Alligator mississippiensis: one gene and its partner. The protein of the gene in region 2 interacts with the protein of the main gene of each other region in a pairwise test. Links are inferred from orthologs where the notes say so. Each region holds a gene or a part of one and is shown on either strand. Other genes may lie near its edges.

Evidence for each region.
Region 1: the proteins of BMX (region 2) and PTPN21 interact in binary tests that used the Homo sapiens proteins (3 or more experiments, as listed by UniProt). The link is inferred for Alligator mississippiensis from reciprocal best matches to the Homo sapiens genes BMX and PTPN21.

Annotation. Positions count from the first base shown.
Region 1 is NC_081825.1:271,805,106-271,820,899, forward strand, and holds the start of PTPN21 (tyrosine-protein phosphatase non-receptor type 21), read right to left. Parts: upstream 7,481-15,794; 5' UTR 7,051-7,480; intron 6,422-7,050; 5' UTR 6,333-6,421; intron 4,393-6,332; 5' UTR 3,356-4,392; intron 1-3,355. Other genes in the region: ZC3H14 (zinc finger CCCH domain-containing protein 14), read left to right, coding at 7,629-7,664, 7,807-7,849, 15,399-15,513.
Region 2 is NC_081824.1:322,789,488-322,805,281, forward strand, and holds the start of BMX (cytoplasmic tyrosine-protein kinase BMX), read right to left. Parts: upstream 7,306-15,794; 5' UTR 7,301-7,305; coding exon 7,163-7,300; intron 5,894-7,162; coding exon 5,789-5,893; intron 3,794-5,788; coding exon 3,712-3,793; intron 2,052-3,711; coding exon 1,932-2,051; intron 1-1,931. UniProt on the Homo sapiens protein: Non-receptor tyrosine kinase that plays central but diverse modulatory roles in various signaling processes involved in the regulation of actin reorganization, cell migration, cell proliferation and survival, cell adhesion, and apoptosis.

The DNA of each region.
Region 1 (15,794 bases), on a different chromosome or scaffold from region 2:
GAAGAACCTGCTACACATTCAAATTAAAGCTGGATAGCACCAGCTATAAAGCTAGTACATTTTCCAGGTCTAACTTTATAGCTGGTTGGAGCTTTTTATGGCATGATAGTTACTTTGCTCAAGTAGCTGGTCTCCAATTAATTGCATATACCTGTAGTGTATAGAGGGGGCCAGAGAAACCAAGGCTCCAACACTGCCTTAGGGCTACTCACTACTGTATCATTTGAGGCCTTCCCTTTTGGGCAAAATGCAGCTTTCATTTTTGGTCATAGAAGGGGTGTAACAACTGCATCCTAACCAATGCCAGTGTCATTTGTTCTATTCCTTTAATATTCCCCATATCAGCACTTAGCTGCAACCCTGAGCAGCTGATCAGTGTTTCAAGTGCCAGCACTCCTTTCTCCTTCTCCATTCTCCCCCCCCCAAACCAGTGGGCTCCATTTCAGTGGGGGGAGGAAGGTAGTAATACTTTATTTTCTAAATTCCCTCCTCAAATAACAAAGGCTTCTTTCATGAGCCCTACAAACCTTAGTCATCTAGTGACCTGCTCATCCCAAATGCTGCCTCAGGGTCTGCTCGCTGTTAAAAGAAATCCATGAACACATTGGCACAGGCCCCTGCATGCTGTAAAGACAGCTGTTGGCCATGGCACGATGCACACAGGGCAGATGACCCTGCAGCCAGGCCAGGCAGTGCAGTGCCTGGGTGCAGGGTAAGGGGATCAAACACTGAGGTTTTTGTCTCCCACTGACAGTCGGTCTATGCCGGTGGGGCAATGATGCCCCATGCCTCGGCCAGCATTCCTTAGGCAGAACCTGTAGCTGTCTTCACACTGGAGCCTGTGAGGGGATCACACCAGCCACAGCAACATGGGGACACTGCTTTGCCAGCAGGAGCAGAGCCAGAAAGCACATTTCCCCGCAGCCTACTGGAAGAACAAGAACTATGACCCAGGGGCACCAGAGCCCTCGCCTTGGAGTGCAGCCGTCAACCCAGTCCTGAAGCAGAAACTTGCAGCACTGCAGTGGGACAAGTCCACAAGCCTGTGCTACAGGAGCTTCCACTCAGTCCTGTTTTGGAGGGATTGGCACCTAGGCCAAAGATCCATACAAGGGCATCAACCCACCCACAACAGAGAATGAGACCCTCAACGCTCCCTTGCTTTTGGTAAGAAAGAACCAAACCATCCATGTTGAGCTCCCAAAGATGAGCTACCTCTGTCACAATCCCCACAATTTCCCAACCATCTCATCAGATTGGGACATATGAATAATACATCTTGCAGATGAGGTGCTGGCCTGGATTTCTATCAACTGGCCACTCTTGCCATTTGCTAAGTCTTCTCTTGCTTCAATTCTAAACACCTATTGACAGAACACAGCATGACTGTGTCAGGGCAGGAAGAAGAACTGGACTTCCTGAGAACACTCTAGGTTTATCCCCTTAATACATTTGATGCTCAAATCCATATTTAGGTGCTAGACTATTCTAAGGCAATCAAAGAAAAAACATTACTTGACTCCTCACCCTGAGTTATGTAGTTCCTTCTTTCAGGTCGAAAGTTTCCAGCACAATAGAAAAGAATAAAGAAAAGCAAGGAGGTGATGGGGTAAGACACAGGAGAGAAAGGAACCGGTGCCATGCTTGCGGCTCTGGCTCAGAAGACCCTCCATATCTACTTGGCAGGAGCTTCTAATGGTTGGCTGCCTCCTCCCTGTCCCAGCTACTGGAAGATTTCAAAGGCAAGAGGATGCAGCTTAGCTCAGAATCTGAGTCTTCCCGCGTGTCCAAGCAATACCTAATCCATTTCTGGATGCTACTACAATACTAATAGACAGAAACAGGTTTCCCTGCAGAGCCAAGTGAGTTTATTTCCGGTCCCAAAACCTTTGGCTCACTGACCTCAGCTCATATCCCCATGCCTTGGTTAAGCAGGTTGTACAAGAGACCATAGCACCGTTCTCTTACACACCTTCACTGCCCCTCTTTACTAAGGCAAGCCAAATGCTGAAGACTTCTTCAAGTTTCAGGCACAACTTTAGTGTTGATTGATCATGGTTTTAAAGGAATTAAGTTTTTCAATCTTTTTTTCATCTCCTGACATCCTTTAAACAGACACCAAATAATGTTGCCAAATAATGTCTATACAACTCAAAACCTCCAGAAAGACAGACAGGTGACATTATAAGAAAGTTAACACTTCCATTAACAAGCATGATCAACAGCACTGCTTTCTATCATTTTATTTTAATGCAAACAAAAAAAAAATTGCCTAGGAAGGAATTTTAAATCAGACTTAATGTTCCCTTATCCAAAGAAGGAATTTTTAAAGGTCATATTGTATTCTTGGAACATTTTTCTTAAAAATCCCCCAGTTTTCACTCTAATAATTAGACATTTTGGTAGCATTTTCTTGTTTCTAAACTACACTTACTTCATTTAAAAACATTGCCAGAAAGGTACAATAAGTTCAAATACCTGTACTGAGCTTGGATCCCAGTGCCTCTTATGCACTACATCAGAGGTAGCCCCTGATAAATAACAAAATACACTAGCGTTGCACAAGAAAGGGAATGGAGGAGGAGTACTGGTCACAAGTCATTTGACAACTTCTACTGCTGGCCAAGCACAGTTCTTGCAAACAGTGCAATATTGTTTTTATTTAGCAGCTGTCATTTCCAAAGACCAGCTGGTATCATATTTGTCTCACGCATTATTTCAATGTACTGCTACTTTGGGACAAAAGAGCCCTGTGCTATAGTGCCAGAAGTTGGAAATGCAAAAGTCTGGCTGCTATTTAGACTTCTTGTGAATGTTCCCTTTATTAAGCAGGCCTAGTATCTATCTGGGAACTAAAAAACATTTTTTGATCGTCTGATTTTACACATCTATATCTGAACGCATATATATCGTTTTCAATATTCACAAGCCAAACAGGAGTCCCAAGGATTGTCATAGGTAGCTCCTCTTTCTCTACAACTCTTAGCTCCTCTCTGAGAATTGCCTCGTATTTGACTTAAAACAGGTGAAGCTCCAGGGATGAGTCTGCCTCATAAAAGTACAATGAAGGGCAGAGAAACAAGGTGCCCAGGATGGCTAACACTTGCAGTTCACACCATTATTTCATGGTTATGCGGAGCAGCCTAACAAGTAGGGCACTTTCTTCCCCGTCTCAGGCCACCCCAGCACAGCTCTGCAAAGCGCACCAGCAAACTATCACAAACTTCCTCTGGCACCTCCGTCCCCCAGGCTGCTTCTAGTCACCTCACCAGCCGGGGGAGGAAGAAACAAAGCAGGGAGGAAGAGCTCCGCTGTCCCCCGCGGCGCCTGCCCTGCCCTGCCCCTGCCCCGTTACCTGCCGCCGCGATCCGGTGACACGCAGGCGCCTTCCCCAATCCGGGTCGCACGGCCCGACTGCGCCGGGACAGCCGCTGCCCGCCCGCCCCTACTGAAAACAGCCCCGCCGCGGGTCACGGCGCTGCGCGGGGAGTCGGCACCGGCCCGGCCAAGTAACCCTGGCGCAGGCTGGCGGGGGCCGGAGGCGCTGTGCGCGGGGCCGGGCGGGGAGTGTCGTGGCCTGGAGGCGTTTCCCGGCCGTGCGGAAGGATACGCGGAGCCGCCAAGTGCTCGCCCGCAGCCCGTGACCTCAGGGAGCAGGAATGCGCGGGGCGGGGGCGGGGACGGGGCAGCGCCGCTGCTTCTCCTGCCACCCTGCGCCCACCCCCGGGACAGCGCTAGTGGCAGCCGTGGGAGCGGCCGGGCCGGGCCGCCCCGCCCTCGCCTCAGGCGGGTGCACAACGCGGGTCCTGCCCGGGGCTGACCCGTGCCCGTGCAGCACCCCCTTCCTCCCCTCCGGGATGTGCCGGGAACAAGGAGCCTTTACTCGGTGCCTCGGTCACAGGCACCAAGCGGACGCCTGAGTCTGAGCCGCGGCTCACTGACGGGAGACGCCACTGCCGTGTGACAAGGGCGCGGGCGCGGGGGATGCGGCAGTGCCGGCCGGTGCTCGGGGTCCCCGCGCCAGCTCCGGCCAGCGGCGCACGCGCACTAGGGCGCAAGGCTGGGCCCGGAGCCGGGGCGCCGCGTGCTCTTGTGTCCGGGCCGCCCGGCTGGCGGCAGCCGCACCCCGGGCGCTGCCCAGCCTTGCCGGGGTACGACAGCCATGGTGTCTGTAAGATCCTTCCAGCCCTCGTACAACGCAGGGTCAATAATAGTAAAAGTGTTTAAAACGTATGATGACTTTTGAGGCAGGTCATTGATGCAGCGAATGCAAAACTCAAGTCACGGAGAATCTTAATCCGGTTTTGGGCTGGCTGTCAGCACCTCCTAACACTGCGCCTCTTGAAATAAAGAAATGCTTCCACTTCCACGTTCTTGCTCGCAGACTGAGGACTTACAGTGATCAACATAAAGTACAGAAGAAAACTTATTTGCATGCGTTTTCAGTGTATGATAGTTTTTTTTTTTCCAGCAAATACGGTAATTTTGAGTTCCAATACAATAATTTCATATTTAAGACCTGCCAATGCTGGCACCACCTCTCCAGGGCCCCAAAGATCATAAGTACGGGGCATTTCTAATCCAGCAGGGTCTCCTCCCGTGCATAGGTGGGGAGGCACATGCCCCCAAGATTGGCTGACATGGCAGCTGGCTTCTGCATTGCTGATTACTGCTCACTGCCGCCAACTTCTGCTGGTGGTCTCCACTTGACACTGCTGGCTTCTGTGGGCATTCGCCAATTGCCACTCATAACCCCTCTCTCCCAGCTGGCTTCTGCGGGTGGCCACTGCTCACCACTGTGCCGCCAACACTGCCACCCACAAATTGTGCCCTCCCTCCCCCCCCCAGTCTCAGGAGGTACCAGTCATTTATGCTGCAGTGTGTGGCACATGGGTGGGGGGGGGGGGGCGCACGGCAGGGATTCTGCAGAAAAAACCTAACTGGGGTCAAGGTGTGCACATGGATCCCCAACAGCAGTGGCAGCCGGAAGGGCTGCTGAGAAAAGCACAAGGTGGGTTGGGCTCCGGGCTGTTGCGGGGGGGGGGGGGGGGTTCTCTTATGGGGGCGCTTAGCCCCCCCAAGCTCTCCCATAATTCAAACCCTGGCAGTGTGGCCCTTTACACTGAGCTGGCCCTGTGGAAGAGGCTGGGTGTGGTGTGAGGAAAGAGACCAGACCTGAGGCTGATTGTTCCTCCTGAAGGAAACAGGTTCCATCAGGCTATGCCTTACGGCAGGGATTTTCAACCTTTTTTAATAAGTGTACCCCTGGCGGCCTCCTTTTTAATATGTGTACCCCGGGGGGGGAGAGGGGTGGCAAGCGCAGGGCAGCCGCAGCAGCCGCTGCTCCTGGCACCGCTACCCGGGAGGAATGAGCTAGCGGAGCTCGTGGAACAAGGGGCTGGGCCCCTCCCTGCACCTCCCCACTCTCCCCTCCCCTCCCTTCCCTTTCCACCTCAAACAGCTAGCACTCACGGCCCCCAGCTGTCTGTGCACAGCGCAGCGCGCACCTGCCGCCTGCCCAGACACGCAGAGCACATACAGCCCAAGAGGGGGCCACCCAGCCCCAGCACACATGGGGCAATGCTGGACGTGGAGTGGGGCAGGAGGTAGTGCATGGCCAAATGCAGAGCTGCTGCGGCCACCCCGTGCAAGCTTTCCCTGCCCTCGGTGTTCAGCTGGGTAGGTGGAGCCTGTGTGGCAGCATGAGGTGGTGGGTGGCAGCGCTCCATCCCCACTTGCCTGCATGTACCCCCTAGGGACTTCTCAATTACTCCCAGGGGTACATGTACCCCCAGCTGACAACCCTGCGTTAGGGACAGGCTGCATGCAGCTGTCTCCGGTCAGCATTCATGAAGTGAGCTTCAGCTCGGGAAAACGTGTGCACACGGTATTGGGGGCAAATCTACCCTGCCTTCTAGACTTGAGACTGTGTCTTTCTCCTTCCTTTTCCTAACTGTATGTTGGCTGCGCCTGAGAATTTCTCTCAGACCCTCCACTAGGCAGTGCATAACTTGCTGTGCCCGGCTTCCTAGATTCAGAAAACTGAGGAAGAATGTCTTACATGGGGAAGCTTGTCTAACTTTATCCCAACTACACAGCTGGTCCAAGAAAAGATATCGCTCTAAGAAAACTTTGCCTCTCGCATCTGGACCATCATGGCTACAACATCACTTACGCTACCTTTCTCCATCCTGGCAGTGCTGGTCAGTACAGCCAGGATATGCTGGTTTGTACAGGTGGTTAAATCCACCTTGCCCACACCCCACGTTTTGATAATCCCAGGGCTGGCATGGGACCAGACTCTAATGAAAGGAACATGGTTGGAACTGTACCTACGATGGATGGGATGGCATCCAGTGATCTTCACATCCAGAGACATTTGCACACAGTTCTCATCAGATCAGTGAGAAAATCCTGATTCCTGAAAGAAGAAGAGTAGAAAAATAGAGATGTCTGGCGATTATTGCAGGGGGGAGGGTGTTAAAACCATATCTCCTTTTTACAAATCCATTTTCTTCCCCACTTTCCTTTTGCTCTTTTTTCACAGCATCTCTGAGACCTTGTGGACATTGAGGAGGAATGCCACCATCTAATTTATTCATCGGCAGCGAAAAGAAAAAGGTACCCTGTGAAGTGTCAGACATACCCAGCCCTTGGCAGGTTACAACAAATCCACATCCTTTCTATGCAGATTAAAAGTCCATCCCTGTTTACTTGTCCGCAATCCCTCCATTTAGGACAGTCTCTACTCCAGCTCATTGACAGGTCTCGACAGTGGCAACGCCTGGCCCGCCCCCCTGACCAGCCCTGCTTGCCCTTCACGCAACAGGCGGGGGGCAGGCGGGAGCACGGGTCTTCCCCCTGCGAGCGCTGGCCGGGGAGTGGGGGTGCCGTCGGTGAGATTGGCCACGGGGGGACCCCTGCCTGGTCAGCGAGAGTGGCCGCTGACTGGTCACTGGGGGGGGCATGTGCCCCCACCCCCGACTTAGGTGGCACTAGATGCCCAGGGGTCTTGAGGTGACTTCAGAGCCCAGTCCTTGAGCCACAGACCTGTCTGCAGAAGTTGCAGGTCTTTCCGCAGGGGAGAACAGGCCGTAGGCCAAGACGTCTCTCTTTTTCCTTCCTCTGTTCTCTCCTGTGCTTCAAGGGCGAGCGGCTTCGCCTCAAAATGGGCAGCTGCCTGCTTAAGGCTGCCGCGCCACTGGACTCAACGGGCAGCTAGCTCCTCCTGGCTCTTGGTGTGGGCCCCCTGTCCCCTGCAAACAGACCTCTCCCTGCGCTGTAATACCTTATTGGGGGGCGGGGGCTTTTGATGAGGGCTGAGTGCGGTGCTTGAAGCCGGACTTTCCCAGCCCCTGGGGCAACAGCCGGCCATGCCCGAAGCCCCAGCCATGAGTACTTCAAGCGAATTTTAAAACGTGGCCGCTCGCTGCCCGGGCGCGGCGAGGCCTGGCAGGCGGCGCAGGCCGAGGCCCAGGGCCGTGCTGGGGGCGGGGGCGGGGCGGAGCGGAGCGCAGGCCCGGGCTCTCCCGGGCGCCGGCAGGGGGCGCTGCGGGCGGCGGCCGCGCTCTCCCCGGCGCGGCCCCCCGGCTCCGGCGCGGCCCGCGGCTGAGGGAGCCATCGCGGCCATGGAGATCGGCACCGAGATCAGCCGCAAGATCCGGGTGAGGCGGCGGCGGCGCCCCCAGCCCAGCCCCGCCGCGGGGTCGGGCCCCGGGAGCAGGGCCTGTGCGGCCGGGGCCGGGGGCCGGGGCCGGGGAAGGCCCCCTTCCCGCTCCTGCCTAACGCGAGTGTGTCTCTCCCCAGGGCGCCATCAAGGGGAAGCTGCAGGAGCTGGGCGCCTACGTGGGTGAGTGTCCGGCCGGGGCTGGGGCTGGGGCCGGACTCGGCCTGGCCGCCCGCGTGCTCCTCGCTGGGCCCGCGGGCGAGGCTAGGCGCCTCCCGTCCCGCAGCGCAGACTCGTGGGGCGGGAAGGGGCCTCCAGAGGCCGGTAGTGCGGCCAGCACCAGCCCTGTCCAAGTCGTCCCTGCAGCTGATCGTCTGCCCACGACATGAGACTAACGTCAGCCCCACGAGTCAAGCAGGTCCTGCTCCTGTAACGTCTAGTTAACATGCACGCAAGAGGTCGCAGTCGGAGGGCCCCCGCTACCGTCCCTACCAGTCTGACCGTGGGGTAAAATTCCTTGCTGACCCCTAGTACGCCGGTCGGTCTGACCCTGAGCAGATAGTCCCTGCCCTTAAGACTGGTCGAAAACAAAAACACACTTTACGTGAAGAAGCAGTGTTTGGTTCAACCCCACTTCACAGTGTCTGTATAGATCGGGCGCTTTGGTGGGTGCACTTTTATTTACAGCTGATTCAACCAGCTATTAGATAACAGTGCCAAAACAGTGCACATGCACTGGGCTCAACGCAGGGGCACACAGAGTTTAAAGTAAAGCACTGATTTTGTGGGGGAATTACTTCTATAAGCAGCTTAAGTGCATATACTCAAGAGGAGGCAGTAGGTGTGGTGCTGACCAGTGTGGGAGACAAGGATATAACAGGCTAAGCTTTGTCAAGGTTTTTGTAAGTCCTGAGGAAAGGAGTCTTTTAACAGTGAGAACAATGAAGTGGCTTTGCAGGTGCTTACGGGCAACTCTTCCCAGGTGTAAGGGACAGCCAAAAGGAACAAAGGTGTGTGTCTAATGCAGCCTGAAGTCATGTGCTAGGTGGAGCCTGGAGTCGACCTCAGCATTGCATGAGAGCACGGGAAGGATGAGGATCAGTTGGAGGGCTTTGAAAATGCTGGCAAGCAGTGTACGTTGGATGTGACAGAGAAGGGGGAAACCAGAGAGAGAGACTAAGATTTTTAGTATAGATAAGAAAGCAGTCCTGTAGTAATAGGTGGAGTTGTGAATTGTCTGTGTAGAGACAGTAGTTGCATTTGTGTTTGTGGATGACCTTTACCCAAAGATAAGTGAGCGAGGGAGAAAAATGAGCCCCAAAGAAAGAGCACTATGAAATGTAATTTCTCCCATGACTGCAAATTCAGCAGTCTGCATTTTTTGTTTTAAAGCAGCCAAAGTGGGTAATAATAAGACAGTTGTGAGAAGAGATTCAATCCTCAAACTGGGTACGTGCTTGTAGTTCAGGGGTGGGCAAAATGCGGCCCTAGGGACTAGATGCGGACCGCCAGGCCATTCTGTCTGGCCCGCAGGGCCCCTAAAAAATTTAGAAAATTAATATTTATATGCCCCTGGCTGCCTATCATGCAGCCCTCGATGGCTTGCCAAAACTCAGTAAGCGGCCCTCCGCCCCTGCTATAGTTGCCCACCCCGTTATAGTTCCTCTTATGGTACCATACAGAATTCAGGTGAAGTAGTCCATAGGAGGTTGGCTACATGGGTTCAGGAATCATCTTGCACTTGTGGGATCAAGCCCAAACCTCCTAACTGGATCCTATATTATCCCATTAGAGATGGCAAATGGATAGCTGCATTTACAAACCAATACAAAATGATGTTGAAAGGATGTCCATCCCATCCTCTTTTCAAACTCAGCATGTTCTGAGGAAGAGAGCTCATCATTTTTACCTTGCAAGTTTTCTTCCCAATTTTTTCTGTCAATAGCCCTTTTTTTAGTTTCTGTTATCCAAGCTTACAACCTACACATGCTTAGTTATTGTTCCCCCTTCCTCTTTCACTAGGCTTTCAGTCCTTCTACCTCTTTTGTCATCACCACTATCTATTCTTTCCCATTTCTAGTGCCAAGATATTATTAGTAATCTCTGATTTCAGCTGCTTCTACCGTCTCCTAATTTTTCTTTCCCCACTAACTCAGTCCATTCACAGGGCTACTACAAAGGTCATCTTTGCAATGGCTTTAACTCTTTTCTGTTAACTTTGACTTTTTAAAATTAAATTAAAGTTTTCCTTATTCAGTTCTAACACACTGCCCCCATTGTATCCTTTCCCCTTTCTGACTACCTTCACTACACCCAAGTTTCTGTGATCGTTTTTTTTATTCCTTTCTCACTCCTGACCTATTAGTGCTTGGATCAGCATTCCAGTTAATGTTTACCAAGTGTCCCCTACTTCTCTTCAGGAAATTGATCAATTATTCTCTAACTACCCTAGACATAGACTGTTTTCTGTGTGTGTGCTTTTATCCTGTCTTGTGACAGGTGGTACTATTTATTCCTTTGTAAGATTGCTTAAGACAAAGACTTTTAACAAGTTATTTATCATGTAGATAGAATTGTTGAAGGAAAGTTTCACTCCGTAGGAAATTAAATAATGGAGAAAAACATAAATATTAATCCATAATTTATCAAAATTATTAAAAATTGAACATACTCTTCTGTTTACCAGTGTGGCAGTAACTACTGCATGTGGTAGTAAGATAACTGCATGTTTGGAAACAGTAATAATGTGTCACAAACTAGCAGTATAGGGCAAAACATAATCTTAAGAATTTTTGGTTTGGTATATGAATGTAACTGCTATAGCCACACATTCAAAAAAGGAAATAGACTGGTAGATCGAATTGCAGCAGTTATAATAGTATTGCACTCCTGTCCATAGCTGAGAAAAGCCTGGCTGCATTCTCCTTAACAGACTCGCTTTCCTGGCTGAGGAGATTCTACCTGAGTATCAGCGCGGTTTCAGACTGCTCAGGGATACAATAGATGTGATCTTTTTTGCTAGACAGCTGCGGGAAAAGTGCCATGAGCAACACCAAGATCTTACGTGGCCTTTGTTGGTTGAATTAAAGGCCTTAGTCAGGTCAACAGAGAAGCTGCCAAAATTTGTTACCATTATCAGATTTCTTCATGATGACATGACAACAGCCATCTTAAGCAGTGGCTTGGAAATGGACTCCTTCACTATTAGAACTGGACTCAAGCAAGGATGTGAGGTTGCACTAATGTTCTTTTTTCCATCTGTATCGCAGCTGTGGTGCATCACATTGCTGATAGACTTCTATCTGGACTCAACATCCAATATTGCATGTACTGTTAACATCAAACAGTTACAGTCCAAATTCAAGATAACCCAATGTCTCCATTACTGATCTTGAATGTGCTGATGATTGTGTCATATATGCTCAGTCAATCGAAGAGCTCCAGGTCACTCTTGATTGCTTCTGTGAAATGTGTGAAATACTTGGGCTCATGCTCACAAAACTCAAGATACTTTACCAACACATCCCAAGCCAAGTGCTGTTCCACGTATTACAATTAAAGGTTGAATGTTGAGCATTTCCCCTAGCTGGGTAGCCACTTTTCTCAAAAAGTAAACATAGATAATGGTTTTAAAAGTAAACATAGATCACAGCCCCTAGTTCTGGTACTCCAGATTTACAGTGAGACTGGAGAACATTGAGTATTTCCCGTACCTCAGAAGCCATCTCTAGCAGAAGGCTGACATCAATGAAGAAATCCAACATCAGCTTAAAAATGCAAGTGCAGTCTTCAAATTCCTGAGGAAACAAGCATTTGAAGATTGCACCATCAGATTTGAAACCACGCTTATAGTTTATTGAACAGTTGTGATTGCCACCTTACTGTACAGAGCTGAGACATGGACAATGTACAAGAGATGCCTCAAGTTGTGGGAGAATACTATCTACGCTGCCTGTGGAAGATCCTTGAAATCCAGTGGGAAGACAGATGGCACCAGCATTATCATCCTCGCAGAAGCAAATACACCATGAGCATTGAGGTGATGATCATCCAAAATCAACTTTGCTGGACCAGTTACATCATCCAGATGTCTGACTCTAGACTCCCAAAGCTAGTTTTATTTTCCCACTTCAGTCAAGGCGTACACTCAAGAGGCGGGCAGAGAAAGCTCTTCAAGCATCCTCAAAGCCAACTTGGAAAAAATGTAACATTAACATCAACTCACAGATGATTATCACCTAGGACCACTCTAGATGGTGGAAGAGTCTGCTGCAAGGATTTCACTACTTTGAAACCTGACAATGACAACAGGAGACAGAAAAGCAGGAGCAGCAGAAACAGCGTGTCATGGACTGAATCAAGAATCCAGAGCCACCCACCCTGCACAGAAACACGTACCTGAGTTGGAACAGTCTGTCGATCCCAGAACGGTCTCATTAGCCATCTAAAGCAATCATGGAAGACAGTCATCCTCGAATGCAAGGGATTGCTGATGATTCAACACCAGATAAAATCTGCTGGTGCTGCCTTTGGATGTTTCTGATATCTTATCATTAATATCTTGGGTCTTTAAGGGACCCAAACCAAACTTTTCATCTACCAACTGTTGTCATCACTACCTTGTTGTATGGGTGCGAAACTTGGACAATATATCTGTCTTTGGAATATCCTCCATATCAATAGGAGGAACAGAAGAATGAATGTCATTGCTCTGGCTTAAGCAAACGCCACCAGCATTGAAGCCATGTTTATATGACATTAGCTCTGTTGGGCAGGACTTGTCCCAAGGATGCCTGACAACTGACTCCTGAAATAGGTCCTATACTCCCAATTCACCAGTAGTCACTACTCTAGGGGTGGGCAAAAACAGAGATTCAAGGGCACTTTGAAGGCTAATCTGAAGTACTGCAATATTAACATCAATACCTGGGAGACTCAAGTACCAAATTGTCCCCAAAGGCACAGTGATTTATGATAAGGGATTAACCATGTTGAGCAAATTCATCTCACTTTGGAGGTAGATAGATGAGAGAGACAAATAAAAAGAGCTGTGACCTGACATCACTAGATCTACTCCTTCCTCCTAGAGCTATTTGACATGTCTGTAGCGGAACATGTGGATTTCGGCTCAGCCTCCTCAATCATCTTTGGACTCCCCTGTGACTTGCCTATTTCCCTTGTATTGAGGGTTGTATCAGATATAGTAATAAGGAGGCGATAATATCCATAAAGGGTTACAGGAAAAAATGTAACCCTCATCACTTGCAGGTTTGCATGGGGGAATGGAAGGGGCTACAGTTGTGGGCTGGGGCTGCGTGGGGCTCTTTCTGGTGTGTGGGGAGTTGGGGGTTGAGCTGGGGCTGCACTCAGGGCAGCTGATAGCAACGCTAGGAAGGGGGGCTACAGGTGGGATATGATGAAATTTGGGGTGGCTGCAGCCCCCCCTCCCAGTGCCATCACCGTCCGCCCCAAACACAGCCCAGCCCCTGCCGGGAAGAGCCCAGCACAGCCCTGGCCCCAACCCACAGATGCAGCCCACCCCACCTGCACCCTGTGCAGCTCTAGGTACACATGCCCCCCCCCACCCCCTCCGTGCCCTCCCGGGGTGCACGCAGCAGCAGGAGCCGCACCCCCCCATATGAGCCATGGCTTGGTCCTGTGCTCTGTGCTGGCGGGGCAGCACCTGCCCCAGCCTCACTCCCTCCCTCACCACAGGGGCCTTGATCTGCCCCCCATGCCCCTTCCCTTCCCTCTCTTCCACTACAACAGACTTACTCACCGCGCACAGCTATGTCAGAAATTGGATCAGTATCAGCCGATGTGCCTCCTTAAAAATTGGCTATCGGTATCAGCCCCCAAAATCTATGTTAATGCACCCCTAGTTTTAACTTGCATACAGGCCTAGGTTCCTGTTGAGGAAAGCACTTGAATTTGTCCATTTTTACCTGACTTTGGGATTTCCAGTGGGGTTGGTTCTACACATGCTGATGTGGTTTGTTCACTATCTCCCTGTGCCCCCGAAGTGTAGAGCAGTGGTCATCAACCTGGGGATCCCAACCGGCAGGTTGATCCTGAGCTGGAGTGACAGCTGGGCACGCGTGCACCCACCGCCCCTAGCCTCAACAGGTTGATCTGTGGCAAAGGGAAGGGGTGGGGGCCAGATCGAGGCCCCTACATTGAGCGACTGACTGTGTGGCCCAGCCAGGAGCAAGGGAAAGTAAGGGTGATGGGAGGATTGGAGGCTGGGGGACTCCCTCCCCATCTCTGCGGGGGCGGAGGCAGCATAGGCAGCTGCTGCTGCACCTCAAGTCATGCTGCAGCTGGCTACGTGCAGGCACAGCTCAGCGCAGCAGCGGGGACTCATGGGGATGAGTCCAGCTGGATCTGGGAAGATCTGGTAGTCCAGGTCTATGGGGGGGGCGTGCCCCCCACCTGTGCTAGGGGGTGGCAGGGGAAGGGTGTGGTAGATCCTGGGGTGCCCTTTACTTCCAAAAAGTGATCTTCACCATAAAAAGGTTGGAGACCACTTGTGTAGAAGGTCTTACATAAGAGCCATTTAGTCTCTGTTAGTGGAGGAGAAAGTAGTCGCAGCATAGGGCTGTTACCTTTAGAAGTATTTGAATAAATGAGAAAACATTATATCATCTAGGCAACTGTCTGTCCTTCTGGATCATGGTATATGCGTGAGGTCACCAGGCCCTTTGATGCATATGTGTAGGCAGGGGAGTGGAGGGTGCTCAGACTTTCCATCCTCTACATAGGCTGTTGAGACAGAATCCAAAGGCCAGACAGTCTGGATGTTCAGAGCCTTAATAGCTGTAGTTATATATGAACCTGGGTCAGGATTCTACCACTGAGACATAACAGTGGGTTATTATATCATGAGTGTTCAAATAAAAGTCTATCGTACAAAAATCAAAAGGTATTTTGATATCCTTTTTCTTTTAATTTCGTGTGTGTCTGTGTGTGTGTGTGTACTTCATTTATTTATTTTTAAGTTTTATTGTATCTTTTAATTTGAGCTCCAGTAGAGTTGACTATCTTATGTGCTTTAGCTATGTCTGAAGCTTGTATTAAACTTTTAAAAATTTTTCTCTGAAAAGATTGTTTGTTCATTTGCTTATTAGAGAATCTCCTTGTTGTGCTGTCTGTCATAAATAAGTATTCCATAACATAAAAGAGGTTTTGCTAAAGTATCTTTGTGTTACTATAGAGTAATATTGTTAGTGATACGGTGTGGGTTTACACATTCATTAATGCTCTTTAGGTAATGTGCATTAAATCTAGTACCTCCATTGTGAGGTACTAGAAAATGTGCATTAGCCTATTTTAATGCATATTAGCTAAAGAGCACATTTTTTGTGACACTTTAATGCACATGAAAGCACACGTGTAGACATGCCCACAGAATAGTTTGTGCAAATGACAGGACTTTTAAAGCTTTGCAGTTTGCATACAGATTTGCAGGAAATTATTAGAGGACTTAAATATACTACTTTGGTCAAGATTTTAGTCTCTATTACTTCATTTAGTACTAACTGATTAATACAAATCTTTCTTCTGTGGTGTTTATAATAAAATTTGGGAAATAGTCTGATTTCTTCGGGATTGTAATCACTGCCTCCATTCTAGGTCTGCCATACTTTAAAAATATATTTAAAATATATCATTGCTGACTGGAAAGCTACTTTAAAAGGTAACATACAGGTTTATTCTTTCCTTTTCCAATTAGATGAAGAGCTTCCTGATTATATCATGGTCATGGTTGCCAATAAGAAGAGTCAGGAACAGATGACAGAGGATCTTTCCCTTTTCCTAGGAAACAACACTGTCAGGTTTACTGTGTGGTATGTTTATCATTTACTTCTCCATGAGCATTACTTAATACAGTTGTTTTGTGAGTGCTTTCTGTAAATGAGGTTTGAGCTTATGAGAAATTGTGCATCTTATCACTGTGCAAATAACACTGATCAGGAAATGGGTTTTTTATATGTAAAGTGAGGCAGTATTGGGAAAATGGTAATCAAAAATTATTATTCTTAGCTTGTCAATAATTAATTAATTATTATACTAACAAATATATACAAAAATAAGTGATTAAGAAGCTAGTATTCCCTGTGTATTCATT
Region 2 (15,794 bases):
CAAGCCTTTACAAGGATAATACATTATGTAGAGTTTCTGTGCCCTCCCCATATATATAACACCTATATTCACACTACAGGGTATCATTAAGGAGTTCACCATCATTAGAACCAAATTTTGAAAAGGGGCCTCTAAATGTTGGTTAACATATCAGGCATATAGATTGGGTTCATAGATGTTTAAGCCTACATTTTCATTCATTTCAAATGATTCCATTTTTGAGCACCCATCTAGAAACATGTCAGGCCTGATTTTCAAATGTGCTGAGGAATCACAGTGAAGTCAATGGTCCACATAAGTGCTCAGTACCTCTAAAAAAATCCATCTTTCAATGTCACTTGCTCAAATTGGAGGCATACATATCTTATGCCCACTTCCAGAATGTAGGTCATAAACAGGGAAGGAGAGTTGCTTTCCCCTCGCTGTCAAGTTAAAACCTCTAGTACATGTATTCTTAGATCATTGTAGTTAATTTCTAGTCACATAATCTAAAAATGTAAACCTAAAGAACAAATGAAATAAAAGACATGACAGATTCTATTTTTAATTAAAAAGAAGAAAGTTAAAAGAAAAAAAGTGAAATTCCAATACTATGGCATGGTCTGAACATACTGCTGGAGTCTCTGTTCTCAGGTGTGTTGTATGTACTATCCCAAGATTTCTAGGCCTTCCACTTCAATTAATATATATTTCTATTTCAATTTTTATTTTACATTTTTGCCAAATGGTGCTGGAAGGGTGGGGTGGGAGGGGAGGGGAAGGACTCATGAATTGAGTAGTGTAACTAGGGGTGGGCAAGAACCCCTCCCACCCCTCCAAAGCACTAAGTTAGGAGAGGTGCCAGAATCACTCCCCAACCTTGTGCAGTCCATGCCCTGGCAGCATTCTCATGCCAGGTCCCAGCTGCTGCTGTTGAAAAGCAACAGCCAGGGTTGGCAGAGCACATGCAGAGGCAGCAACAGCTCAGCTGGGACTATATAGGAGTTCCTGGGGTGGACAAGACTGCCGCCCCCTCCCCACTGTTTTCAGATCCTTGCCCCCCACACCAAGCTCTTAGAACTGGTGCCACCTCGCTCCCATGCCTGCTCTCAAAACTGCATTCTCCACCGGCTTTCCCACAGAATTGGCCCCAGGTGCCAACTCTGCTTGTTAGGCAGCTGCATTAGTTCATGCTATATGAGAATTTGCTTTACTTTAAATAATATCAGGTTCCCAGAACTACTCATCTTTTGAAATAATCTGATTGGAACTTTTTTTTTTAAAGTAAACTTGCTAACCAGCAGCATATAGTTTAATAATGGTTAAAATTTTGTTTCAACTATTCTCTTGAGTCCGCTGTGCTTATTGCAAACCTATTTTTTTAAAATGCAGATTCCAGAAAATAGCCAAATAAGCTTAGAAAGGGGAAAATATGGGCCTGTTTAGAAATATTGTCCAGTTTATAGATGTGATGAGAAAGGTCAGTTTTACTTTGGAGTAATATCAAACTGAATCCTTTAAAATAGATTCACTTGTTTTCTGTGCTGAGTTTGTGTTGTTTGTAGCTAATCTGATTATTCAAACTCTAACAATAAAGAATTTTGGTTTTATTTTCCTGTAGCATAACTGTATTTTAACCAGAGAACTAAAGAAAGAAAAGAGTGAATTTACTTTTGCTGTCTCGTGAACATACAGTATAATATTGCCATTATCTTTTTGAGCAACCATATCAAATCAGAGTATTTCTCATCTATCACATTATTTTTCCCTAAATGACATTGCAGTATTATTAGTGGAAGTTAAGCATACACATCAAGAGGAATAGTAGACAGCTTTTATATCTACCAGTTGATTAGAACTGTATGTACTGATTATATGGATTTAGTAATATAATGAAAAACACCATTAAAAACTAAAAACATATTCAAAGGGAAACACAAATGGCACATTACATTTCTCCCAAATGGTGCATCCAGGAGCTCCTTTACAAGTCTGGTTGCAACAGAGGAACTTCCCATTGGTGAAGAAGCCTTTGTGATACTTGTTCAGTAAATCAGCATTCCCTCTAATTTCTGGAAAAACAAGGAGGAAAAAAGAACTTGAACAGGCTTCCTGATAGAACATGACTTGTAAGTAATATGGACGAGTTGACTCAGTAGTTGTGATTCAGGATTATAGGGGAAGACAATGACTTTAATAGACTGTTAGAAATCTTATTTAACTAATTGTAGAAGGAACAAATAAAATATTTAATATTTAAAAATAGGCAAGATGATTTTGTCCTCTAACTCTATGCAATTAATACATATTATAGAAATAAATGAGATAAAAAAAATAGCTACCCAGTACACCAAATGGCAAATTGATTGTGTGAAAGAATGGAAAGCGTATTGACTAAGTCAAGAAGGAATAACCTCTTAAATAAACACTTTATTTTGTATTAAAAATACCCCTTCATTCTGTAGAAATGGTTTCAAATATTGTAAGTGACAATAGTGACACTGTAGTGTTTGAAGCCAGTGCTTTAGGGTTCGTATTGGAAAGTAATTAAAAAAAAATTTAACAGTACAGGGTGAGGTTTTAAAACCAGTTGCTCCATATTTATATATTCAAGAATTCTGAGAACCCACAAAGATAGGAGCTACTGTGTGTTTGTTGAAACTCAACCCCCAGCTATTTATTAATGCTTTTATATCTGTCCTTTCCTTAAAGAATCATAAGCATTTCACTACAGTGCACCTTGCTGGCTTTCTACAATATTACGCTACTTCTCAGCAACCTTATTTTAAGAACTATACCTTGCTAGATTGCCATCCTTGAATATAAATTCAGCTGATGACAGTGAACCAAATCTTAGAGTTACTTCTTACAATAAAGGCAAATGAACAAAATTATGGTGAGTTAAAATATGGCAGGAACATACTGCACAGAACTTGATATGTAGTATCTATTCGCCCTCTTTTACCCCATGGTAAGTGAAACTGTCCTGGGGCAGCTTTACTCCCCATGAAATAGGACTACGTTACTAAGTGTTAGCTTCCATTTACTTCAGGGTAAGAACAGGCATGCAAGCTGTTACCATGTGTGGTAAGCCCCTGTCTCCTATTAACTCACTGTAATCTGTGCTTTTGTCCATACTCTAAAGGTCAGACCCCATTCTGATATGTCGAACAAAACCAACTTAATGGACAAGAAACTCTGTGAAGAGGAAGTCCAGGAGTTTCTATCATGTAATACTGTCAGGCAAATAAAATAGGCAGAGGATACATCTATCAAAAACGTCATCTATCAAAAACCAAGACTCTATATATGAAAGCCCTCCAATCATCCACTGGCCTTCTGCACCACTCCTTTATCTGTCCACTTAGATCCCTGCTGGCCTCTGCCTCCAAGCTCTACCTAAGAAGGATTTAAATAAAAAAGCTATTTTCAACAATTTCTCCCAGTGAAAAAATGGAGAGAAAATCTGTGGGCTCATTTTATTTTGACTTATTTTTAATGAAAGGTTTTAACTTTTTGAAAATTTCTGACCAACTCCTATAAAAACTTTAGATTTCAGACCACTGTTCTATAGAGGGGGATTGGGACTGAAAATTACTGATAAAAATATTGCATGAAAACAATAAAATTAGAGTGTTTTTTTTTTATTTGCATGAATTCTATGAACAAATCTCCTTCATTTTTAAAACAAACACACAAAACATCCCTCACAAGTAGTAAAACTAACCTCACCTTTTTGTAAGGCTTCCAGCCATCGACTTTGGCTCTCTTCATTAGCTGCGTAGACATAAAGAAGGCCATCCTTGTACACTATCTAAAAATACAGGAAAAGCAATTCACTGTACAGTCAGTATATCTCAGCTGGCTCAAAGTCCATTAACTGTAATGGGGTGGGAAACAAAGGGTATGGGAACATGTATAAGGAACCCAAAAATCAAGCTCTGCAGAGCAGCTGACACCAAAAGACATGAAGAGCCAAAATATCTGGATTCACAGTTAAATAACTGTTCCCTGATTTTCTATGAATATGAAGTAAGGGCCTTAACCAGTAGTGCTTCAAGTGGCCAAGTTCTAGCTGGGATAAGACCACAATTTCACATCATAATTAGAAGTAAAAAGCCTATATACACTATGGTTCTTCATAGAATCATAGATTATCAAGCCAGAAGGGGCTGTTGTGATCACTTTGGCTGGCTTTCTGTCCCATTAAGAGGCATACAACTTCCCTGAGTCAATTCCTGATTGAATTAGGGCAATACTTTAAGGGAAAAAAAATCACTGATTCTTTTAAAGATTAGATGGAGCATCTATCAATGGCATATTAAAACAAAAGCATGTGATATCCAAAAACACACTTTTCATGTTTGTATATAGCATTACAGAAAAATAAACTATTATACACACTTGAATATATTCATAGATTCATAGATGTTAGGGTTGGAAGGAACCTCAATAGATCATCGAGTCCGACCCCCTGCATAGGCAGGAAAGAGTGCTGGGTCTAGATGACCCCATCTAGATGCTTATCTAACCTCCTCTTGAAGACCCCCAGGGTAGGGGAGAGCATCACCTCCCTTGGGAGCCCGTTCCAGACCTTGGCCACTCTAACTGTGAAGAAGTTCTTCCTAATGTCCAATCCAAATCTGCTCTCTGCTAGCTTGTGGCCATTATTTCTTGTAACCCCTGGGGGCGCCTTGGTTGTACACAAGATCTCATCTACATTCCACTGAAGTGAATGAGAAGGCTCCCGTTACTTTCAGTGGTCTTTGGTCTTAGCTTATAATAGTGGTCACTAACCAGACAATTGCAATTGCCTGGTTGATCAGGGAGCCCCTGACAGTTGATCACAGTCTGGGGAGGGAGGTTAGTCCCCCCCAGACTAAGATCGACTGTCAGAGGCTCTGTAATCGTGAGTGGCAGGACACATGTGAGGAGTGGCTGGGACACAGTCTGGGAGTGGCAGGACATAGGAGCGGCAGGACGCATGTGGCTTGCCCCATTCACAGATTGGGGGGGCACGTGCCCCCCCCAAATGTGGGGCAGTGCAGGCAGCTGCAGCAGCAGTACATGAGGGAGTGGGGCTGGAGCAGGAGCAAGCCCTGCAGCCAGGGTGGGGAGGGACAGAGCCATGAGAGGTTTGTTCGGGGGGTGCGGGGAGGGGGGTATGCACTCCAGGAGGGCACAGGGGGCATGTGCCTCTGGATCTGCACATAGGGTGGGGTGAGGTGGGCTTCAGCTGTGGGCTGGGGCCAGGCTCTAACCAGAAGATGAGTTGCTTATGGCTCCATTCCACCCCACCCAGGCTGCAGGACTTGCCCCTGCTCCAGCTCAACTCTCTCCTTCACCACCATTGGCAGGGGGCACAGATCGAGGTCCCAGCAGTGAGAGAGGGAGTGCAGCTGGGGCTGGGGCCTCAATCTGTGCCCCCCCCCCATGGCCCTTTCCCCTCCCCCCACCCCTTCCCACACAGACTTACCTGCTGGGGGGGGCGCACCCCTAAATAATTTTTTATCCCTCTGCCTTGATCTGCCCCCCTCTTCCTTCCCCACAGACTTTCTTGTTGCAGAGGTTGTGGGGGAGGAGGGGTTGGCAAGGGGTAGAAGTAGATCTTGGTTTGCTTTTAAATTCCAAAAGGGATCTCCTACTGAAAAAAGTTGGAGACCACTAGTTTATAACAGTATGGCTTCATTTTCAATCTGCTACAAGTTTTTGTGACAGTCAGGAGTGCCACAAGATATTATTCTCTACAGTTAAGATCCTCAAAATCTGCAGGAGGACTTTTGTTGCCCTTGATATTTTGGAATCTCACCTGAAATGGATATTTTCTCTCCAAAGGAGTTGGTTCATCAAGATTCACAGTTTCAACACATCGTATTTTCTTAATATCAATTGATCCCTTTTTGCTTCCTTTTTTCTAAGAACAGAAATCAAAGTAAAATGCAAGTTTGTGCTCAGAATTTCAAACACAAAAATCAAATCAAAATTAATTGATCAACATGAGTTTTACAAACTGATGCTTAAATGTAAGCAGTAGGGTAATTGCATGTTTCACCTAGAATGAGTATTTTCATTTCTTCACTTTTATTAATATTTTTGGAAAGGTATTAAAAGACATTCATGGCATCTTATCTTGTATTCCAGACATGGACAAAATTCCCTTTGAAATTAAAGTAAAAAGATTACAACACTGAATCCATCCACCAGAGAAGAAATAAAAAAAAAAAGTTCTTAAATTGGAATGCACAAATGAGGAAGGGGAAATCACTGAAACATAAAAAAAATAGGTCTGGAAGGGATCTGTGGAGGTCATCTAGCCATCCCTTGCCACCAGCAGGCTTATATCTACTTAGCATGCAGCAGACCCTAATAGAAAGTGGGAGTCTGGTTATTGTCTTTATTACTTTGTTAAGATACATGGGCCCAATCATGCAACACTTACTTATGCAACAATTCATAACACAAGCGTATGCTGTTCAGTCACAAGGGAGGACACTCTTCTGAGTACTCATTCTATGATATGCAGACATCTTACAGAGCACAATTGTGCTTAACCATTTACTTTAGTGTGGAATAAACTCTACACTGACCTGTATACATTAATTCTGAAGAGCTGTCAGATATGCAAAGCAGCTCAGAGGCTGTCAGTAGGAAAACATGCCTGTTCAGGACAGTATTTAAGTATGTGCTTAACTTTAGGCATGCTTAAGTCTTATTGACTTCTATGGGAAATAAGCCTAGCTCTGAGGTTAAGCATAAATTTACATGCTAGCCTGTAAAAAGATAGACTTATACATGGACTTAAATGTTTTTCTGGACTGAAATTAGAGTTTGGGCCCATACCATTTCTAAACAGAGCTTTGAACAAAGTATACTAGCATCCCTGCTACACGGTATCTACATTGATGAAGAAAAAGAGAGGAAATTCAAAGTTTTGGCTTTTGAGACAGACAGGATCTCTGCCCCCTGCACACATGCAGTATTTTGTGTTACTATATATGCTAAAAAATACAAGTCTTAATATGCATGTGCAGCTATGACTTTGAATTGCTTGAGTCTTATGCATTTAAATTGTCATGGTATAATTTCAGTATTAAAGAGTCTAATTTTACACAGCTGAAGCAGATTTTATAAACAGACTTTGGAAAATCTTTGATCTACATAGTTAAGAAAAATGATTTCATACCTGTTTGTCATATTCATGGTAAGAGAGATGTGTTTTTGTCAGAACAAACAGCCTTTCTTTGTAATTATTTGGTGACATTTTTTTCTTCTGTTGCGACTTCTTTAAAAGAACTTCTTCCAAAATTGAATTGTTCTCCATTTTGTTACCCTAAAAGAATTGCAAATAGTCACTTTTATTAATAATAAGACAAATATCTTTAAAACAGCAACAAGATAATTGCCCTTATTAATGGATTATAAGGAATTTTAAAATCAAATTGTAATGAATTTCTAGCATGCTGTAACAAGCTGCTATGAAGACTGTATTTCATATTTTATGAACATGTAAAACAGATTAGTTTTTTCACAGTAAAAAATAAACAGATTACAGGAAAATTGAAGGTTAAGATAATGCTTCAAGTAAGTCATTCTCTATCCCTTTGTTGCCTGAACATTTTTCTTTTTAAATTCTTGCTTTGTGTCTTCAAAGGAACTGAAGCTATGTTAAGTACAGATATGTCATACTTGAGAATTGTAAGGAAATCATTCTAGCAACAATCAGGAACAAAATCTTCAGGTTGCTGACCAGAAAAGCATGTCCTTGTGTTGGTCAGATTGGACATTTTCAATTTCGTCCTGTCAATGCATATAAACAACAGTCTCACTTATCATGTAAAGAGAGGTAGTTGGCCACCTTAGTTTGAAGTCATGCACAAGGCAAGACAGGGTAGCATTTTAGAGACTGACTGGTTTAGACATGTGCTGTCATGAAAGCTTATGCCCTTCTGAATGAACAAGTCTCAAAGTTGCTACCTTGCCCTGCCTTACCCTGTAAAAAAAGAGTCAAAAGGTGAAACTATTCAATTACAGTTTGTATTAATTAGTATGTACAACAGTACATAGTAGAAGGAGAAAACCCTTTGATTTTTTAAAGCTTTGTATTTTAAGTTACCTCGTTCAAATGTTGCACTTGCAGGAGAAAGTATGTCCTTTGTAAATTGCCCTCTGTTTGGAGTTCCAAAAGGAAGTGTCCTGCTGAGCTGTAATGTGCATTATGTTCCTTTAAATGCAGAGAGTCTATCAGAAAAAAATACATTTGCATGCCATTCATCACACCTACCTCCTCTGTCCCTATCATCATCAGACATCTATGCTTGTTCTTCTAGGTTGGCACATATTTTCCATAATTCAATTTTAAACCTTTCTTCTCAATACCCCTCAGTTACCAGCTGGTATCTGACCCAAAGCATTTTGATCCTCTGTCCCAGGTAGATCCCTCCCATCATGAGATAGGCTTGTTCAGAAGTAGTGGAGTGGTTAGTTCAGAGGTAAGCTAACTTGTAATTTCTCTGTCACCTTTACAATTACAATGTTGTGCCCCTTTCATTCAGAATGATAGGGTGTTTGGCCTTTTTACCTTGGAGCTGGACTGAATGAATGGTGGTCAGACATTCTCCATATTGCTGTCAATTCAGCATAAGCACAGGCTTAAGTTTAAGCATCTGATTCATCTCATCACTCTTCAGCAAAGCACTTACATATTTTACTTTGGGAATCAGGACCTCTGACTACTTAGTAGCTTGAGTTCTGACAATCTGTTCCAGAATAGTTAATTTCCTTTTTTCTTTCTTTTTTTTTTTTTGACTAGGGGTTACTGGTAATTTTAAGTTAGATATGAAGGATTTTTAATTAATTATTTTATAAAGACCTACTTGAAAAAATGGTGGGGGGGAGGACACATGAAAAATGTTGAAATTTCAAATGAGTTTTAAATACAGCTCTCAACTTGAAATGAAGCATTTTTTGCTTTTAAAATATTTTTAATGAAACAGCTTTTTAAACTTCTTAATGTTATTTTCCTCCTCCTCTTTTTCTTTATTTTTTTCTACTCTGTGACATTTCATTCCTATTTTTTCAGTATTACATCTTGGAAAAAGACAAACAGGCAAAAGAAAAAAAAATTCCTGGTCCCAAAATGCCTGGGATATACAGTTTTAATCACGCCCTTACTGCTCCCAGACCATCTTTAATAATAAGCCATTTTGCACATTCTGTTAAATAAGGGGAGATGATTTAGATATTAATTTTGAAATGAAAAGAAAGATTACCATTTGAAGACAATACTAATAGTTTGAGCCAGTGTCTAATGACTTTAACAAGGAACATTAATAATGCTTGTTGGATAATTTTGACAACTTTTTACTTGTTGAAAATATTAGTTTGATTCAAGTAAAATTTTTAATCGGAAAAGTACAATTGTATGGGTAGTTTTTATTCTTCATTTTTAGGTTTAGAAATTGTCAAAACATTTTATTTTGTTTTTAAATGAAAAACTTCAGTTTTCTGAGTTATAGTGACTTTCTTTTAGAAATTTAAGCTAAACATTTGAAAAATTAAAAACTGTTCCTAAATGAAATATTTTGAAGTTATTAAAAAAAAAATTGTCAAAGAATCCATTACTGATAGGCTAACAGAAGGCAATATTCTGAAGGATAGCCAACATGGCTTCATTACGGGCAGGTCTGACCAACCTCATTTACTTCTACAAACAGGTAACTCGCCACCTGGATAGTGGAAATGAGGTTGATATCATATATTTGGACTTTAAAAAGCCTTCAACCTAGTCTCCCACAATGTCCTCATGGTAAAATTGGGAAAATGTGGCCTTGACTACTTTACGGTCCAATGGCTAGGTAGCTGGCTCTGTGGTAGGACCCCAAGAGTATAGATTGATGGAGCTGAGTCAACATGGTGGAAGGCAACCAGTGTTGTCCCTCAGGGTTCAGTAGTCAGACCAGTGCTTTTCAACATGTTCATCAATGATTTGGATTCTGGTATTAAAAGCAAACTGACAAAGTTCATGGACACCAAACTATGGGGGAGTGTGGTCACACTTGAGGACAGGCTGGCAATACAGGCAATCTGGATAGGCTTGTGAGGTGGGCAGACCTGAACCTGATGATGTTTAATATGGAGAAATATAAAGTGCTCCACCTGGGGCGAAATAATCCACAACACACATGCAGGCTCGGCAGTGCTACGCTTGCCAGCACTCCAACTGAATGAGACCTGGGTGTTGTGATAGATCACAAAATGAACATGAGCCACCAATGCAACGCTGTAGCTGGCAGAGAAAATCAAACACTGGCATGCATCTACCAAGGCATCCTGAGCAAAGCTAAGGATGTCATCCTCCCTCTCTACTCTGCCTCAGTGAGACCACAGCTGGAGTTCTGCATCCACTTCTGGGTGCTGCAATTCAGGAAGGATGTGGAGAAGCTCAAGAGAATCCAAAGGAGGGCTATGCACATGATTAGAGGCCTAGAGACCAGGTCTTATGAGGAGAGGCTGAAAGACTTGGGACTGTTCAGCCTAGAGAAGAGCAAAGTCAGAGGGGACTTGGTGGCAGCATATAAGTATATCAAGGGCCCAGGGGAGCATCTGTTTACCGAGGCCCCCCCCAGGGGAGGAAAGAGAAACAATGGGTACAAACTGATTGACGATTGCTTCAGACTGGACATACGGAAAAACTTCTTTACAAGTCAAGTGCCAAAGGTTTGGAACAGGCTCCTTGCAAAGGGGATACAGTCACCCACCCTGGTGATCTTGAAAAAACATCCTGATGCCCACCTTGCTGGGGTCACCTGACCCCAGCAGTCTTTCCTGCCCAAGTGCAGGGGGGCTGGACCTGATGATTCCTTCCAGGTTCCTTCCAGCCCCTATCATATATGAATCTATGAAAACATTTTGAATGAACTGACCCAATTGTTTTTTATTTTGATGTTCAATATTTCAGCATTTTTTAGATGCTGTCTTTATTCCTATATGAAACAGTAAAGTTTTGAAAAGTCTCAAGAATGTTCTAATACACGATACTGTTAATTTCTTTCATATGGAAGGGAAGTTGCAATGGCTAGTGTGATGCCAAAAAGCTACTAAAGAATTTTTAAAATCAGCATTTAAAGTAAGAGAAATACGTTTGGATGTATTGCAGTAGGACTCTAAGTTTCCATAATGCTTGGAAAAATGCCTGTTCTATAGGTATGTAATCCAAAAAAATGCACATCTGTATAACTTTTGGTATTTTGATGAACAAATGCAAAGAAAATCTTTAGTATTTACTGTGTATGGTTTGAATTAGGCCAATAAAGAAAACCAGAAAAGTTTGAGCAACAACAGAATGTAGTATTTATTTTAAAAGGTTGTTTTCTTGCTTTAATTTTCCCTGATTTATAACATCCTAAAAATACTTTTTTGTGGAATTAAATATTTGCTTTGATCTCATTTCTCTAATGTAAATACAAATGATGTATAAGTACATTTTATTGTTTCAAGAGGACAATGAAGAATGCTTGATCTGGAAAGAATCTTCAAAGGGTGTTGGATTTAATGTGACCATCCTGTATCTTCTGAGACAGTCCCAGTTTCTGGCAGTGTATCTGAGTGCCTGTAATGGGTCCCTGAACCCCTGAACACTTTTGACTTGAAATTGGAAAATTCTTCCTAAATCAACTCACTTCCCTCAATGCCATATCCCTCTAAAATATTCCTGTGAAATTAGGTATTCCCAATGTCTGGCTACATCTGCTGAGAGGTAAAGCTAATTTGCCTGGGTACAGTATGAGATGAACAGTTATACTGCTTCTAGTTTGGTTTTCTATCCACTAATTCCTCACAGCTACCACTCACAGTGTAACATTAAGGCAACTACCCTGACAGGCCCTAAACATTGTACTGACTGCTCCCATTCAAGAGATGCATCAAGCATCTAGGACTGAGCTGATCGTTTTAAGTGCAGGGAGTTTTTCCTTGGTTTTAAACTGCAACAGAGTGTTCTGTGCCTCAACACAATCCCCATTGCTTTTTGTGACCCCATGCTGGTCATGAGCAAAGATTGGGAAACATAGCTCCAATGAAGCAAAGGCATTAAGTCCTTTATGCTTTTCAGTTGTGGATCCAGTATCTTTTTTGGAGAGTAGCAGCTAGACATGCAATAAGAGAAGTGGTTAGTTGTGTTAGTCTGGTCCAGCAGAAAGCAGGGCAGGATGGCACCTTAGAGCAGGGGTGGGCAAAATGTGGCCCATGGGCTAGATGCAGCCCACCAGGCCCGCGGAGCCCCTAAAAAATTTAGAAAATTAAAATTTATCTTCCCCTGGCTGCCTGTCATGTGGCCCTCAATGGCTTGCCAAAACTCAGTAAGCGGCCCTCCGCCTGAAATAATTGCCCGTCCCTACCTTAGAGAGAAGCTGGTTCAGAAAGGGATGAGCTGACGGGCATGTATCTGGCATGGTTTGGAGTGGTCTCTGACCAGTGCCCTGTTTTTGATCAGAGGGAGACCCTGGCACACATGTTCTTAGAGTGCGCCAGGCTGCAGCCCCTGTACCTCCTCCTCCAGAACCTGCTGCTCAGGTTCTGGCTGCACTTCTCCCCACACCTTTTTGTTTATGCACTCCCTATCCGTCGCCCCACCAAGGCCTGGGACCTCCTAGTCAACCTCCTCCTGGTGCTGGCCAAACTGACTATTTGGCTAACCAGGTGGGAGGCTCTGGCCGGGAAGGTTCCCGGGGACACTGGGGCGTTTTTCCTCGGTGTCCTTGCGCACATCTCCAGGTGGAACATCGCTGGGCAGTAGCTGCCGGCACTCTAGCAGAGTTCGAGTGTTGGTGGGCGCTGTCCGGCATGCTCTGCTTGGTGTCCCCCAGGGAGCACTTGTTTTGGCTCTATGACCTTCACGTGTACACCCTGTTTTTCATTCTTTGACCCCGTATTTATTTGATTTTAATGAGGCTCTATGCCGCCTGACAGTGGCAGCACACATGATTTTAGTGGGCTAGGCCCATGGCCCATTGCAATCAACAGGTCAGAAAGGGATGAGCTTTTGTAGGCAACAAACTAATCACACCTACAAAAGCTCATGCCTCTCTGAATCAGTTAGTCTCTAAGGGCACTTGTACATGTGATGGGGGTTTAGTTCCCTAAATTGAAATGGTGGGTTTTTAATTGTGCCAGTTAAAAACTCACCATTTCAATTTAAGGGCTTCCATCACTGTTATGGCAGGGAGCCTAATCCTTTTTTTTTTTTTTGAGGAGCCTGCTTGCATCTCCTGTGACCAGGCGGTGAGCTGCAAGTGGGCCAAGTGGCCCTTGAGCTGTGGGGGGCCCCAGTCCCACCTCCCACAGTGGCAGTGCCCCCCGAGGGCTGCCCAGGTAGGCTGCTAGCAGGTGGGTGCTGCTCCAGCTCAGGGAACAGTTGGATCAGACCAGGTGCTGCCTCTGAGCTGGGGCAGCACCTGCCTGATAGCTGCCTGCCTGGGCGGCCCCTTGGGGCACTGCTGCTGCGGAGGGAAGGACCGGGCCCCTCCATAGCTCAGGGGCTGCACAGCCTAGCAGCAGCTTGTGTGGGCAGACTCTGCCAAAAAAAAAGAAAAAAAAAAGTGGTGAGTGGCCTGATCCTTCACCTCCTCCCTTGCTGCTTCCCCCCCCCCCGCACGTGTACAGCGTGATGCAATTAAAGCGCAAAAATGGCCAATTTTCATCATGTGTACAAACACCCCAAGGTGCCAGCCTGCCCTGCCTTCTACAAAACTGAGTGACACAAAATGGGCCTAACATCTGTGCTTTGCTTGAAGTGTTATTTAGCTTGTTTGCTACCTTCTCAATTTCTTTGCCCCTTGTTTTTGTGGAGGCCTAAATTGGCTTGCTTCACATTTGCCCCTCTGGGCTGTGTCAGGAAGGAAAAAACAGATATATAGTCCAGGGAAAGAGAAATGAGGGCCTCCCAAGGACACCCACTAACATGCGCAGCTCCAAAGCAGGTTTTCCAGAGCAAATTATGTTATTGGTCACAGGGAGGAAGGGGGTAAGAGGAGGGGAGTGTTTATGTGCAAGTGGATGTGCGTATGTGTGTGTGAGAGAGAATTTGTGTGTATGTGTAAGACAGAGGGGAGCGTATAAGAGAGGTTGTGTGGCTGTAAGAAGATGTGTGTACATGTGAGAGGGTGTGTGTGTAGGTGTAAGAAAGTGGGCTGTATAAGAGAGGTTGTGTGGGTGTAAGAGGATAAGTGTATGTGTAAAAGAAGATGTGTTTGTATGTATAAGAGAGGGTGTGACTAAAAGAGAGAAGTTGTGTGGGTGCAAGAGGGGGTGTGTGCATTTAAAAGGTATGTGTGTAAAAGCATGTGTGTGTATAATGGGGATCCATGTGTGTAGAAGAGAGGTTGTGTAAGAGAAAAGGGATGTGTATAAAAGAAGTTGTGTGCATGTATAAGGTGTGGGTGTGTAAATGTGTGTGTAAGAGGGGGTGCACATGTGTAGGAGGCATGTGAGAGAAAAGGGATGCATGTAAGGGTGTGTGTGCATGTGAGAGGTGTGTATAAATGTGTGTTTAAGAGGGGGTGCATCTGTGTAGGAGGTATGTGAGAGAAAAGGGTGCATGTAAAGGTGTGTGTATATGTGGGGTGGGTGCATAAATGCATGAGAGGGGGTGCACATGCATAGGAGGTGTATGAGAGAAAAGGTGTGCATGTATGGGAGTGTGTGGGGTGTGTGTAAATGTGTGTATAAGAGGGCATGCACAGGTGTAGAAGGCATGTGAGAAAAAAGGAGTACATGTAAGAGTGTGTGTGCATGCGAGGGGGTTATGTAAATACATGTGTAAGAGAAGGGGTGAATGGGTGTTGGAGGTGTGTGAGGAAAGAAGTGCATGTAAGGGTGTGTGTGTGAAGGGTGTGTGTGTGTAAATGAGCATATAAGAGAGGGGTTGTATGGGTGTAGGAGGCATGTGAGAGAAGGTGCATGTAAGGGGTATATGCGTGTGAGGGGTGTGTGTAAATGGGTGCATAAGAGAGGGGGTACGTGGGTGAAGGAGATGTGAGAGAAAAGGGGTGATATAAGGGTGTGTGTGCATGTGAGAAATGTGTGTGTGTAAATGAGTGTGTAAGAGAGGGGTTGCACAGATGTAGGAGGTGTGTGAGAGAAAAGGAATTCATGTAAGGGGGGTGTGAGGGGGGTGTAAATGCGTGTATAAGAGAGGGGGTGCATGGGTGCAGGAGGCGTGTGAGAGAAAGGGGGTGAGCTGCAAATGTGCAAGAGGTGGGTGTGTATGTGTGTGCAAGAGAGTGTGTGCATGTGTGCTGGGGACAGGGTCTGTAAGAGAACAGGGGGATGGATGTGTGGAAGAGTCGTGTGTACAAGAGAGGGGATGTGTGTATGAGGGAGAGTGTACGTGTGCCAGTGTGTGCATGAGAGAGCTCATGCCCTGCCCTCCGGGCTCTGGCTAGGGGTGCGTGCAAACGCTGGCAGGCTGCAGCCCTGCCCGGGCAACCCTCGCCTCGCCCCGCGCCTTTCTTTCCCTGTGAGATTTGCAGCTGAAAGGCCCCACGTTCCTCCCTGCATTGCCTTCTGTTGCAGCTGCTTGCTGCGCTGGGATGAGATTGTGCTGCGTCATGCTGAGCTGGTCCTCCCGGGAGAAGGCGGGGGGAGGCAGAGAGAGGCAGGCTGGGCTTGGCCACACTCTCGCCCTGGGCAGCTAGAGAGTGGGTAAGAGCCAGGTACTATGTCTTGGGGGTGGCGGGGGCATTTGTGGTCCTCAGATCATGTCCAGCTGCGGGTTGCTTGGGCTGGAAGAAGCAAAGAAAAGCCAAGTCCCTGATATG